2 separate regions of the Mus musculus genome follow, and region 1 is reported to be linked to region 2. The links are microRNA targets in miRTarBase. Many come from high-throughput screens and were not tested one by one. Region 2 holds a microRNA gene; the other region holds the end of a gene's coding sequence.
What was found. Region 2 holds the annotated microRNA mmu-miR-195a-5p (UAGCAGCACAGAAAUAUUGGC, at 4,143-4,163, shown strand). A microRNA usually pairs through its seed, bases 2 to 8, with sites in the 3' UTR of a target mRNA and lowers its output. Matches are read on the target gene's strand: a 7mer-m8 pairs with bases 2 to 8, a 7mer-A1 pairs with bases 2 to 7 and ends in A, and an 8mer does both.

Region 1: miRTarBase lists Bcl2l2 as a target of mmu-miR-195a-5p. Seed matches in the 3' UTR shown: 7mer-m8 at 5,528-5,534, 7mer-m8 at 5,525-5,531, 7mer-m8 at 5,272-5,278 and 7mer-m8 at 4,748-4,754.

What each region holds. Positions count from the first base shown.
Region 1 is chr14:54,884,735-54,892,147 of GRCm38, reverse strand. It overlaps Bcl2l2 (BCL2-like 2), which reads right to left. Exons shown (of 4, transcript NM_007537.1): 3 at 7,335-7,413; 4 at 3,914-6,764. The coding sequence ends at 6,615. Among named protein-coding and RNA genes, the nearest start is that of Bcl2l2, 5.0 kb to the right of the region's middle.
Region 2 is chr11:70,230,920-70,238,332 of GRCm38, forward strand. It overlaps Mir195a (microRNA 195a), which reads left to right and starts at 4,123; the gene lies at 4,123-4,216. 0610010K14Rik (RIKEN cDNA 0610010K14 gene) reads right to left here and starts at 6,995. Exons shown (of 6, transcript NM_145758.1): 1 at 6,865-6,995; 2 at 6,612-6,706; 3 at 5,958-6,059; 4 at 5,105-5,292; 5 at 4,777-4,881; 6 at 4,285-4,545. The coding sequence starts at 6,885. The coding sequence ends at 4,541. Mir497b (microRNA 497b) reads right to left here and starts at 3,897; the gene lies at 3,773-3,897. Mir497 (microRNA 497) reads left to right here and starts at 3,798; the gene lies at 3,798-3,881. It also overlaps Rnasek.

The DNA of each region.
Region 1 (7,413 bases), not on the chromosome of region 2:
GGGCTGTATTATATAGTCTGGCCTTACACCTGAGATCCTCCTACCCGAGGAGCATGCTGAGGTTATTATTTTCCTCTCAGCATTGTGATACACATGTGTAATCTTAGCACCTGAGAAGCTGAAGCAGAAAAACAACCAGGAGTCCCAGGCCAGTCTGCACAGTGAGTAACTAGAGTCACACGCCTTTAATCCCAGCACTGGGAGGCAGAGGCAAGTGGATCTCTGTGAGTTTGAGGCCAGCTGGTCTATAGGTTGGGTTTCAGGACAGCCAGGCCACAGAGAAACCTTGTCTCAAAAGCCACAGCTCTTGATATTCTTACAGAGGAGCTGAGTTCAGCTCTCTGCACCTACATGCTCACTCCACCCGTAACTTCAGCTCTATCGAATCCAACACCTTCTGGCCTCCACAGGTACTAACACACATGCACATACTCTCTCCCACACACGTATACATTTTTAAAATCTTTAAAAAACAAAATATCCCACAGAGCTAGGTGTGATAACATAACAGACTCCTGAATTCCTAACACTTGGGGGGTGGGGAAGCAGAAGCATCAGGAGTTCGAGGCCAGCCTCACTTATATAGGAAAGCTGAGGCTAGCCTGGGCTACATGAGACCCTGTCTCAAAAAAAAAAAAAAAAAAAAAAACGGGGGGGGGGCTGGGCCCAGAGACAGGTTGAGTTCAAGGTCAGCCTTATCTACATAGTGTGTTTCAGGACATAGTGAGCTACATAGCTACAGAGTAAGATCCTATGGCTTCTGACCTCCAAATGCTAGGATTAAAGGCTCTCTCAATTTTTAATGAGGCCCCTAGAAAAATGTAAAACTCTTTTTGTGACTTGCATTATATTTCACTGGTCAGTGATGACATATGACTTGAAGCCTTATGCTATTTTGAAAGACTTACTACTTTTCTATGTATGTATATGTGTGTTTGTGTGAATTTATGTGTAGCACTGACATGGAGGCGCCCACAGAAGCCAAAGGGTATCAGATTCCAGGGAACTGGAGTACAGGTAGCTGTGAGCTGTTCTATGGGTGCTGAGATGTGAACCAGGTCCTCTGTAAGAGCAGTAAGCACTCATAATGCTGAGCTATCTGTCCAGCCTTTCGAGTCTCTTTTAGAAAAGATCCTGGTATCTTCTGATGTGGTCCATCCTAGCTTGCAGTAACTTCCTAGCTCAGACCTTGTACAGAAGTGAGGTAGTATTTAAATGTGAAAGGGCTTCTACCAGGCTGCTTCATTTCAGCTTTGACTGGATAACTTTTAAAACATATTATTTCTGTATGGGTCTGTGTTCTGGTGCCCACAGAAAACAGAGGTGTTTATCATCTCCTGGAGCTGGAGGTTTGAACTACATGGCACTGATCCTAGGATCTGACCTCCTCTGAGTTAAGCAGCAAGTGCTCTTAGCCACAGCCATTTCTCTAGCTCAACTGATAGGCTGTTTCATTCTCTTTTTCAACTTTTTATTTGAAGGAAGCACATGTCATGGCACTCATGTGAGCTGCCAGACTCAGTATACCCTTTCCATTGTCCAAGACTGAACTTGGATTGCCAGGCATGATGGCAAGGACTGTAACCCACTGAGTCATCTCGACAGCCCACTGAGTGGCTAATCTTTTGATAAAGGGTCTGTCTAAGTAGCCCTGGCTGGCTTACAACTCATTATGTAGACAGATCAACCTCCAACTTTCAGTGACCCCTCCCATCCCTTGAATGTTGAGATTGCAAGTATATATGCCCATCACCAAGCTTGACTGGTTATGTTTTTAACAACTTTTTATCTAAAAAACTTGCTTTCAGTTGCTCTATCAGATTTGCTTATATTTATTATCCCCCACCCCAGTCAGAAAATACTGACAGCAGAAAGAACAAAACCTGCCCATCAGACAAAACCACAAATGGGATCTTTGTCTGCTCTTGCTGAAGACTTCACACTATCACATTCTATTTTCTAACCTATATAAGTTTTATAGGAAAATATAAAAATGTTTAAGTGCTAGTAGATACCTTCAGTTATACCGTAATTCGTAGTTTTACTTGTCATCTTAGACATGAGGATTTCCCTGATCATTTGATTTAAAATTAGAGAATCTACATATTTCTATCCTTCATCCTGTTATTTAAAAATAGTATCTTTAAACAGGGTCTCACACGTAGGCCAGGCTGGTCTTGAACTTGCAGAGCTGCCTAGCAGCTGCCTCCCTAACACTACGATGAAAGATGTGTGTCACCAGGCATCTTTCCTCATAGTATTTACTACCTTCTAACATAGTTATGAGATTTATTTATTGTTTGACCCCCTACTGGAGTGTAAGAGCAACATGTGAGCTGAGATATGTCTTCCCATTCTCTTTGCCTGTGAGCCTAGAACTGGGTTAAATACACAGGAAATATTTGATCATTTTTCTCTAGAGATGATGAATGAAGAGCAACCATTATATTATGCTTTCTGGTCAAAATTTCTGGTGTGTGTGTGTGTGTGTGTGTGTGTGTGTGTGTGTGTGTGTGTGTGTGTGTTGAACAGGGTCTTATATAAGCCACAGTGGCACTGATCCTGCCTCTTATTTCCCAAAAGCTAGAATTATAAACTGGCAGCACCACATCCAGCTTTGGGATATATTTATAGGTTATCGATTAGTTATATATTATTATTTTATGGTTATTCCCCGTAACCACATTTAAGGATTTTTTTTTAATTTTCAAAGAATTCAGCCAGACCTGGTGGCACACACCTGGAATCTCAACACTGAGTCTGAGGCCAGACTGGGCTACAAGCTACAAAAAAATGAGAGAAAACGCGAACAAAAACTTGATAAAGAATATCAATGATCTACCCAATTGAAAGAAACTGTAGGGTTTGGGTTTTGTTCTTTCTCCTGACAATGAGTCTTACCTTGCAGCCCGGTGGCTTGGAGCTGACTCTATGTAGTCCCAGCCAGATCTACACTTAAAGTCCTTGCTCCTGAAGTGCAAGAGACTTATAGCATGAGCAAGGACTACCCCAACCCAACCTCTCTACCCCCACAATGGTCAGAAATTATAACTAAGTGTTGCCCAACTTTATTAAAAGTGCCATCTGGATGAGTTGCATTTACACAGAACTATATAAAGAAAACAGTCATCTGTCCCTCTGGACAGTCTAAAACTTAGTAATCAGACCATTATAAAATAACACATTAGCCTAAATTATAATGAGGCTGATAGACAAACCTAAGGCCTTCTGGATCCCCACCTGGTATTGCTAATAGGACAGAGATATAAACTATTCTATTTGCCTGCAATTCTGTCACTAAGTATCTTTGCAGAAAACTCTGCCATCTGAGTAACTGGACAGCTTTGAACCTCACTGTTTTCCAGGTTGCTTTGGCAGCCAAGAAACTCACAGCTGAGTTCACAGCCTAGCTTTTGTATTTGAGAATATTACTTAAGAACAACCTGCATGCATTGATTACTCTTTTGCTTTCTATCCATCTGTTTAGAGGCAAGGTCTCAGGAAGCCTTAGCTGGCCTTGACCTCCCTGTAGACCTGGGTGGCCCACCTTCCTGTCTCTACCTGACTACTGGGATTGCAGTTGTTTGCCACCACACCAAACCAGGATATTTGAGGAGGTGGTGGTTGTGGGTAGGGGCTCTAGATGTACCACATGTGCCTACAGTTTCTGGAGGCTGGGGTTGGTATAGAATTTGTAGGTTTGGGTATTTGGCCAGGGATGGGGTGGGCGTGGTTTTCTTTTCCTTTTTTCTTTTTTCTTTTTTTTTTTTTAACCTCAATACTTTATTTCCCAAATCCCTATAACTCCAGTTATTCCCCTTAGCAAGGTCATGGCCACAAGAAATGACTGGCTTAGGGAGAGTTCTACAACCCAGGATGTACAGTATAGAAGTCACAAAACCCTGTTCAGTACTTCTCATTAAATTTCTGGGCTTTATTTATTTATTTTTAATACGACCATTACATATTACACAAAAATAAAAGTCAAATGAACTTGGCATTTATAAATTATTAAATAAAAATACAGGAATATATATTTATATTTATAGAGCTTTTTCTTTTCTTCTAAACTAACCAAATCTGTTCTCCTGCCGTTTATGATTTAAAAAAGTAAAATAGTATATGTATGCCCTAGTGTAAGTGGGGAGTAGGACTGGTAACTGCAGGACTGAGTGCCCACTTGCGCTCTTGCCTTGGCCTAAGCAAAGTCCCTATTTGTCCCTTTGGGCTTTGGAGAGCAAGAACATCCTCTCCAGCTACTTAGTATCTGAAAAATTATATCCATTTCCCTCATTTAAAAAAAATGAAATGGATTTAAAAGTTGGGAGCCATACTCAGCCTTCTTGGCCAAGAGCTAATCCCAAGGAACTATATGGCTCTAAAAGACAGTCCCTGGTTTTCCCTGACAGAAGAGTCTCTGGGTTTCCACTGGCCCTTAAAACGAAGGGCAGAACAGGTCACAACTCTCCACTGTGGTCCCATCTAAGCTTCTGAGAATCCAGACCAAGACCAACCCTTTAGCCTGTCCTAGCACAGCCTCTCCTCCCACCTGGCTGAAGGTCTGCTAGCAGAGCATGTTGGTAACCTGACCCTGGTTCCTGCTGCTCCTGTTTGCTAAAGGGCCCCAGGAATGCTACCTTAGGTAGGTGTCCCATGGGAAGGGTAGAGCAGAGACTTCCCTGGACGTGGAGGAGCACAGGCTCCAGATGGAGCTGATGGTCTAGTCAGTGGTTTTCTAACTTTTTTCAGCAGCAAAGCCCTTACCACAAATAAAATCTTACCCTGAACCCCGATACATAAGACAGCTACAAGGGGGAGCTGTTCTGTTTGAGGGCAAACTGCCCAGCCCTCCACTCCCTCATCTCCCTAAGGACTCCTGAGGCAACCCCTAGGACACTTCGGGGCTCTGCCAAGCAGTTTGAAAACCACTGGCCTAGTTTGTCCTGAGCAAGTCAGAGCCTCCCACTCTGACTGCTTGTCACAGACAGCTCCGAGTCTCTTAGATCATCACCCTCAAAACAGACCAACTGGCACATGCAGCCTCCCACATCCCCCATAGACACTATGAAAAAGTGCAACCTTCTCTCAAAAGCCAAAGTCTGGACTAAAACACCTGAGGCCAATTTGGTCCCACATTCTAGCAAGCACGATATGATGCCACATTCTAGGACCAAGTGAAGAGGTGGGTCAGCTGTGGTCTAGCCAAGCTGGTCAGTGCTCAGGAGAGGCAGGTAGGGTTCTAGAGCACTGGGAACGAAGTCAGCATTAAAGAGCAGCAATGTTAGCACCTTGGGAAGTGCAGCAGTGAGGTCTGGCTCAGGGCATGCATTTGGAGTGAATCATTTCCTCCCTCAAAAGAAAAGGCTAGAGTCTGGATTTGTTCTAGGGGACTGGACTGTGAGTTCTAATGTGACCATCTTCAGAGACTCGAGTGTTGACAACCTATGCAAAGAGCATGGCTTCAAAAGAAAACGCGTTAGGTCATGGCAGGTACTCTAGAACCCATATCCCTGGCCCCTGATAGAGCAGCAGCACCAAAAACCCACCACCCAGAACAGGCCAGTCAAGGAGTACCTGTCCCCATCACTCCCAAGGGACTCAGAGCTGGAATGGTCCTCTCAAGGTATCCGCAGTCTCACTGAGACAGTTCAGGAACTAAACTGAATTGTAGATCAGCATTTATGCCCGTATCTTCTAAAGGAAAACTAGATCCCCAATTTAGACTCAGCTGGATAGAGAGACCCTAGAAACAGGCAACACTTTAGGCACCATTGTGCCACCGTTGGAGGGGAAGGTGACAGGCAAGTCCAACTACCAAAGCTTCTACCCACCCAGGCTCCACAGCCTTACCCTTTTTCAGCCCAGGTGCACAGATGCACACAACAGGGGGATGATGAAGAACAAGGCCAGCTGCAGAACTCTTCTCTCCAAAGCCCTGCCAACAACTCTCGGCAGCACCAGAGCCCTAGTCTAGATACAGTGTTCCTCCCTCAGCCTGGAGGCGTAAGGTCAAGGGAAGGGGCAGAGAGGAGAAGGGCAGTGAACTGGCCCTTGTTCTTGCCATAGCAAGAAGGAATGTTTTCTCTAAGTACCCCACCACCAGATTCGACAGACAGCCCAGCATGCACATGAGCATGCTTGCATGTGCACATACATGCACAGGTGTGCCCATGCAGCCCACAGCCACAGCCATTTCACCCAGTCACCTGATCACCAAGCTTCCATCCCAAAGGGAAGTGAATTCTAGGCTCCCTAAATCCCATTCATCTAGTCGAGACACAGATCTTTGAAGTAAGCTCACCGTCCTTGGAGCTACAAGCCATGTTCCGGGTAGTTGTGTGCCCGCGATATGGGCATGATTCCTCCCACCTCCCCACCCCCACCCCCCAAGCCGTGGGATGACTCCACTCTCTGGGTTCTTGGCCTTGAAACATTCCTTAATGTTTCCAACTCATTCTCCCTGCCACCTGCCTGGCATGCTGGGCTCCCACACACACTACCTTCCCCTGCCTTTCTCTGTTCCGTGACCATCCAGTTTCTTCCAAGGGCATTCGCTATTGTTCCAGCTCTCCTGGCCCCTAGCCACACCTAGCCCCACCTGGCCCTAGACTTTCTCACTTGCTAGCAAAAAAGGCCCCTACAGTTACCAGGGCCCCCAGTGCCACGGCCCCCGTCAGCACTGTCCTCACTGATGCCCAGTTCCCCTCCCGCAGACGCCGTGCCTCCTCCAGGGCCCCGTCCCCGTATAGAGCTGTGAACTCCGCCTGTGGGAGAGAAGGGAAGTAGAGAAAGGAGAAAGGGAGATCAGGAAAGGATAGTGGAGAGACGAGGGAAGGAAGAGTTCCAGTTCCATCCACTGTGAGCACTGCCCCCATCCCCAGCTGCTCCAGCCGAAGCTCTACTGCACACAAGCCCCTCCGAACCCCGTTCCTGGCTCCTCTGCACTGTCTACGTGATGTCAGCCCCATCCCTTCCATGGCAATAAAGTTCCGTTCAGAACTGGCATCCTTTGCTAAGGCTTGCCTAGCCATGACCCATCCCTGACCGGCCTCACCACCCATACTATGTACGCAGGGGTCACAATTATTCGCTGAAGGTTCTCTGTTTATAAAACTCTATATTCAGTCTTCTGCTTGGGACCGTGAAGCCCATCCAGCTACTACTACATGGTAGCCCTGGAGTACTGTGAGCTTGATGCTCTCAGTCTGATTCCACTTAAATAAGGGAACTCAGCCCTTCCCAGCACAACCCCAGCCTCCCATCAGAGGCCCTATTTTCCCATGAAGACCAACTTTGTAGAGGGATGCGGAGAGCAGCAATTGAGAACTTCTTACCCAGCCCCCACTGCTGTGGATCCAGTCAGCCAGACGTGTCTCCAGGTAGGCCACCATCCAATCCTGCACTTGTCCCACC
Region 2 (7,413 bases):
TTTCTAATTTGATAGACCCTTCTACCCAGATGTTTGTAGACAGGAATTTTCAATGAACATTAATATGAGCATTGGTCGGAGTAAACAGAGAGGACAGAGGAGAAAGGGCAGGAGGAACCTGGTAGCTAAGTACTTCATTCAGAAGCTAGGCAGGGACCACACCCTTAGATTTTGTTTGGGGAGCCTTGGGATAGAAGGACAAGTTTCCTTTGAAGAAGAGGGGCAGAGCTGAACCCAGGTACAAAGCAGGAGCTCTTTGAGTTTGGGGTTTGGAGCATAGCAGTTGTGCAAGAATGGACCAGCATATCTAGGCCTGAGGCCTCTCCCTTCTGTTCTTGGGGGTGGAGTACATTTTGTTTGTTTTATTGGTTTTGATTTTTTTTTTTTTTAAGCAAACGTAGCAAACAAAACTGCAAACCAACTGGGGGTTGGGGATAGCTAGGGACCCTGGATGACGATGTGGCTTTACTTTGTGAAGATTATTTGGTCTCTATCCAATTTTCATCTCCAAATTTGAGGTGAAAACATTAAGGGCTTTGATGTCAGGACAGAGTTAGCTATTCTGAGTTTTGGGGTGTCACTTGCCATAGAAGTTATTGTAGTCAATAAGGCCTGTTTTTAGTCTCGACAGCTGATAGCAAATTGGAGGTGCGGGGCTGGTTTTAAAGATGTCTTAGTTCGGGGGTTTGGAGGGATTTGATGCTCCCATGTGAGACTGTCCATCTCTAATTTCTGGTCTACTGGGGGAGCATGAGTACGCAACTAATTTGGGGGACATAGTCTCTTTCCAAGTGCTGTTTCAAGGTTTGGATGAGATTGTTTGGGGACATAAAGGTCAACTTGGGGCTTTTTAGAGAGCCCAGTTACATTGAGTTGGTGGCAGAGCCAGAAGCTAGGAGAGGATCTGAAGGCTTTCTGTAGCTGAGAGCTTGATTGATGGGGGGGCAAAGTTTTGTATTTGAATCTTGTGGAAACTCATTTTGAGGGTTGGATATTCCTGTGAACATGTTTATGTGTGAAACTCCTCCACAGGAGAGAATTGAGAAGCCCCCCCAGGGTAGAAGGATAGTTTGGGGGGTATCCAGTTTCTGGGTGTTTTGCCACTGGCCACATTTGGTGAAGCTGAGAGGTGGGTCATAAATTGAAATTGATTTGGAGGTTCACCTATTCTAAAGCACACTTCTGACTTAGGTTATCTTTTGCTGATAGTCCCCTGGCACCCCAGATTGTAAAAAAAATTAGTGAACCCCCAAATAAGGCCAGAATTTGAAGGGTGAAGCCTGGAAAAAGCAGTGTGGTCCATCATAGACTCACTGGAATATGACCTGTTGTGCTAAGGGGGGAAAGGTGGCTTCATACTCTGAACCCCGATTTCTTATGGAAGAAAAAATCCGTTTGGAGGAGATGGGGTGTCTCTTGTTAAAGTGGGTACTTTCTGACTAACAGTGCTGCTGAAACTGGCAAGGAAAGGCTGTGATGGTCTACAAGGGGGGGGTGAATCTTGCACCCTGATATTTTAAGATAAGAGCCCCAAAGAGAAAGCAGACAGAGGATTGGGAATGAGGGTGAACTGAGAGGCGGGGGAGGGGTTTCCAACGGCAGCAGGGGCTAGAGGGTAAGCCAGGCCAGATATTCCCGCCTAGGTCCCTGCTCTCTTCGGCTCTCCTCCCCTCTCTCCCTCCCACCGCCCACCCCCCCAACTCAAGGAAAAAAAAACTGCCTGTGCAATAGCAATGGCAGATTCCAGTCCTCCAGGCTTTCCTAAACCACCACCGAGACCAGCCAGGGGGGAGGGGAGGGGAGGGGAGGATCGGGCTTTCCTGCTTCCTTGAGACAGGGGCAATGAGCTTGACCTCTTGGCCCCTAGCCTTCTAAAGAGTGTCCCCCGGTCTGGAAACCAGGTGTCCTGGACCCTAGCCCCCAAGCGGGGGGGCCTGGAGAAACGGGGAGGAGGAAGGAGGGAGTGACTTCCAAAATTGGCATCGGGACAGAGCAGGGCTGGCGGGAGGCAGGAGAAAGACAGAATTTTCCTGAAAAAACGGGGGTATCTAAGGACCCCAAATTTGGGTAGCTAGTTCAGGACCATCTTCCCAACATCCTAGATTTTTTTGGGATTTTTTGGGGGCCCCGGGATCCCTCTAGATGGGGTGAGGAATGTAGTGTTGGGGGAATCTGACTGGGGCAATGCAGCTGCCTCTCCCGCCGAGTTGGAGACGGATGGGCTGGGACGGGTTTTGGGGGGGTGTCCCCAGTTCTGACTGGGAGTGGAGGAACCCCTCCAGAGCTCTCTTGTGGGGGTCCCCCACCCCAGGGCACTCCCCAGTCCTTGAGCCAGCTGAGAGGAAGGAGGCCAGCGATGCGACTGGGGCGTCTCTTTTCTCCTGCACCCCAAATGTGAGGGATGCACCCCAAAATTTGCTCCTTTCAAAATAGGGGACCAGGATCTCAGGGGAGAGTAGCTGAGGTAAGTGGGGAGGAAAGTGTCCCCTGTTTTCAGGAGAGACGTGGCGGTTGGGGGGGAGGTTTGGAGGTGCGTGCTGGGGTGGGGTTGCGCCTTGTAACTCTTGAAATTGGGGGGATGACCAGAGAAGCTTTCTCTTGTACCCCTAAGACGTAGCACCTCATACTGAAACCAAAGCTTGAGACTTGAGAGCCCCCAATATTCCTACAGACATTAGGACAGTGTTTGCTTTTTTTTTTTTTTAGCCCCACAAAAGCTTTGCTGGGATGGGAGCTGGGGGACAGCAGTTGTTTCTGGGGGTCCAGGAGGGTGCAAGGAGCAGGAGGCGTTGGCAGGGCTTGATATAGGTGATCTGGTAGTCTTGGAGAGGGTCTGGCATACTAGGGGGGCCTAAAAAGATTGCTTCACACACCATCTTAAATCTTTTGATTGCTAAGAGTTTTGGGGGGGTGTGTCGGAAGCCTGGTGGTGCTAAAAGGTGGGATGAGATATGGGAGGTTAATATCTAGGGTTTACAGAGTTTTGTTTTGTTTTGAAATTTCCAGAAGAAACTTTTGCCTTCTGGGAGGTTCTTTTTAAAATCAAGTCTTGGACAGGAGGAAAGGGCTATGGGAAGGCCTAGGGTTGGGGGTGGGGAAAAGGCATGTTTGTCTTTGCTTAAACGTGGCTCTCAGGGGTGGGCCTGCTTGCCTGGGCCTGGTGAATGGGCTAATGAGTGTTGCTGTGTGGGTGGGGCGTGGGTCTTGGGGGACCATGGGGAATGGAAGCAGCACTTGGGGTTGAATACTTTGCCCTCTGGTCCAGATGAGCCTCTTCCTGGGCTCTGCTGCATCCCTTTCTCCCTGGCCTCCATTTCCTGCCTTTGGCCTCCATCTTGTGGCAGGCCCAGGGCCCAGGGCGACTTCCGGCCCCCCTCTCTCAACCGTGTTCCAGCCCCACCACCTCTGGACTGCCAACTCCCAACCCTGCTGTCCTTGGCCCTGTGTCTTCCAGCATTTCTCTTGGGTTCTGACCTAGGGAGGGAGGAATGGACACAGGAAACCTTAGGTCCCTGCCTTTGTGGGAGGCAGTTTGTTGGTCTTCCCCAGTCATCCCGTTTCCTAAGGATCCCCAGAGCTGAATTCCTACAGAGGTGAAGAATGCTCCAAGCTTATCACATTGGACTCATCTGCCAGGGCCCTATCCTTTGCCTGCTAAACTACTTTTGCTGGTTCCTGATTGTTCCCCCCCCCCAGCTTTTTTGGGGGGCCATGTTTGCCATTCACACCTCTGTCTCACTCTAGGTGGGGGTCTTCACGGCACTGCCTGTGCTGTCTTCCTCTCGACCCACCCCAGTCCTGCCCCCGCCCCAGCAGCACACTGTGGTTTGTACGGCACTGTGGCCACGTCCAAACCACACTGTGGTGTTAGAGCGAGGGTATGGGAGGCACCGATGAGCCTGGCCCTGGGAGGCCACCCTGGAGAAGCAACACACACACACACACACACACACACACACACACACACACACCGTCTAGGGTATTGTGATGAAGTTCTTGCAAGGTGGGACAGGAGACACTGGAAAGAGCCCCTCTGCAACCCCCAGGTTGTCTGATACCAGTTATCAGGAACCCTGGTAATGAGTTCTGGCCCCACAGAGCAAAGTAGAGTCTTTGTTGCCCACACCCAACTCTCCTGGCTCTAGCAGCACAGAAATATTGGCATGGGGAAGTGAGTCTGCCAATATTGGCTGTGCTGCTCCAGGCAGGGTGGTGAGAGCTACTGAGAAGGGGCCAAGCCCCGAGGGCGAAGCAGAGGAGAGGGAACGGCAGCTGGCAGCACCATGTTGAGAGAATCTTTTTTAATTATAATTTTCTGTATAAAAATGTCCATCACACAGAAGTCAAAGGGCGAGGGCACATGGTTATCAGGAACGAGGTGGATGGCTCCAGCAGCCCTCTGACCCTCTCTCAGGCAGTCCTTGCTTAGAGTCCCAGGTGATCCACAGGTCCAGGGTGAACAATGAGGGTCAGAGGTGGAAGGCTCAGCAGGAGAGGAGAGGAGCATCAGCGGAGGTGGTGAGGAGGCCAGAGTCCAGGGTCAGGCTGTCTGGAACAGGAAGGAAAACGGACAGAGATGGAGCAAGCGTGGAGGATTTTTCCAAGAAAACCCTCACCTCCTCAAACGCCGTATTACTAACTGACCCATTCCCCTGCACTGAATCTTCCTTCTGAGGCCCCTGCACCAGAAAGGGGTTTTCTGTGGGGACCCTCCCCTACCATCCAGGTGAGTATGTTCCCCACCCCCAGCCAGCGTGGGAGGAGGAGGACTCCTACCCTGGTCAAAGTTGAGTTTCTTGGCTGGAGGAGTTTCTCCTAGCCCTTCGACATCCACCAGGTCACTGTTGGCGTCGGAGTCGTTCAGAGCACTGAGTGTCACATCTGGGAGGGGGCATAGGCTAAGTTCTAGGTTTCCCTGACTGCTGTCTTTCCCTCCTCCCAGTCTGCCAAAGCTTCATGCTCTACACATCCCTCTACCCACTCTGGAATCACCAGCGTACAGAAGAGAAGCGTCTCTCCTTCTTTGACCCAGGCCCAATTCTCTTATTGAATCTCAGATAGGACCTTTAACCCCTACCCTAGGCAGCAACTCCACAGCCCTCACCAGCCTTCTGTTTCTTTATGGGAGGAACCCCAGCTTCAGGGACACTGGAGCTGCTGGGTGGAGGGGCGTTTGGAGGTGAGAGGACACCGGACGTCATCTTCTTGGGTCCTTTCTTGGGTGACTCAGCTGGAAGGGGGATGCCGGAGTCTTCATACACTTTTCGCTTCACAGTGGTCTTTATCTGAGCCCTGAAGATGAGAGAGAGCAGATTAGGGTGTCATCAGAGAAGCCGAGGGAAGAGGGGAGGGGAGGGAATAATGGGCCACTCTGAAGGAATTCTAGGAGTTCCTTTGTAGATATCCAGGTCAAGGCCCCAGTTCATGTGTAATAAGGGTCCTCCCCCCCCCCCCCACGTTCAGAACTTTTGCATCCACTTAGGGCTAATAGATTAAGATGAATGGAGTCCCTGAACTGAGTGGCCAGAAAGGCCCTTTTCATGATCCTCTGGGAGAGATGCATGGTTTTGTAGGACCACCAGGTATGTTGTGGTGACATAAAGGTAGACTGAGACTGTCATAGAACCTGACCAACTAATTAGTTCAGAATGCATCCCCTGGACATGCCAGTTTCAAAGGATTTACATAAATAGCTAGGGAACTCTTATCATCAAACACAACCACTGAGTATCTGGGCACCATGAAAATAAAGTTCTCTGCAGGCCCTAGTGACCACTGCATTTCCTGATCTTCCGACCAACTGCCACAGTGACAGTCTCTCAGTCTTCAAGGAAATGCTAACAAAACTAGGAACAAAGTAGGAAAGATGCTGAGCTGGGAGTTCTGAGAGAGAACAATGGGTCAGGAGGAAGAAAGTTGCCCACCCTCCCCTTTCTCTGCCAGCCACCCTCCCTCACACTGTCCGTTCCTTGATGACACAGCTGATGTGATTAAGATCGTCCCCAAAGCGCTTCACAGCAGCCCTCAGCATCTCTATCTCCGTCTCCGTCCACTTGGCACTGTCGGAAGGGGAGAAGGGTGATAACAAAAGTGGAAGAGGGATGTGTGGAACCAGCCCACAGGCTATTCCGTCCACAGCCAGCAGCCTCTTCCCCCTAGTCTCTAGGGGCACCTTTCAAAGATTCATAAAAAGGACCTCCTTTTAAAAAAAAAAAAGCCCTGGGGACAAATCGCTGGCCACATGAAATTACATCCAGGGCCACTTGAAAACATCACTTCATCATGTAACAGCTTCCATAAACAACCCAACGGAAACCAATGAAACAAGTAGGGGCCTTACAAACACAACCCTTGAAAGATGTGTGGCAGCAGTTTGAGGGAGTCCACAGGGCTTGGGGTAGGTGGCAGACATTCTGTCGGTTTGCAGTGGAGGGCTGTGGCCTCGGTAGTCTCTTTACCTGTCATCCACTAATTCAACAATTACCACCTACACTGAGCTGGGCCAGGCACAGGGGAATTACTCTATCTCCCTGCTCTAGAGAGGGTCGTGTCTGTGACTTGAGTCCAAGCGTCTGATCTCGGAGTCCAGGTCCTAGGCTGGTCTCACGTACCCGGCAGGGGAAGAGTCCGAGACTGGATGCAGCTGCATCGTCAACTCCCCGAGCTTCGTGAAGGCGGCGCCGGCCGCGGAGAAGATCTCTCCAACCTGGGGGCGGAGCAGCATTACGGGGGGCCGGCAGCGCGCCGTCCCACCCCAGCCTCGGATCCGCCCGCCCCCCGCCCAGCGCGCACCAGCCGGGAGCCAGGCAGGGGGCCCACCCTCCCGTGGCCGCCAGGGAGCGCAGTCCGCGAGGGAGGTCGAACCTTGGTGGACGCTGACGTCATGGCCCCGCGCACCTCCTCACGGAGACGCTCCGCCGCCACCACCACCACGCGAGCTGGAAACCACGGAGAGCCCGGCAGCCGGCCGCTCGGGCTCCCGCGCAGGAAGTCCCGCCCTCCCTGCAGCTGATTGGCCGAGACCCGACCTCTCCCCAGTCACTCAAGGGGCCTCGCCGCGCGGAGGAAGACGAGGTGGAAGACGTTGCTTCACTTCCGGCTAGCTTCATTCCACTTCCGTCGGAGGGTCCGGACTCCTCGATGAGGCCGGTCTCAGCCCCTTCCAGCCCGGGCCCGCCCCTCCCTGAAAGCACAGACAGCAAGCTTAGGGGGAACCGCTTCTTTTTATTGTAGTTCAGAACGGGGCGCGGTCACCCTCGGTCTCCTCCAGAGGCTGGGCGCAGTTTTGCAGGGCCAGGGATGACGTCTCGCTAGGGTCACAAGTCCCAAAGGACGCCAGATGAGTGGGACGGAGTCTGCGGAGTCTTTAAATAGAGAAGGGGGCTGGGGAGGGAGAGGCGGACCGCGCTCTAG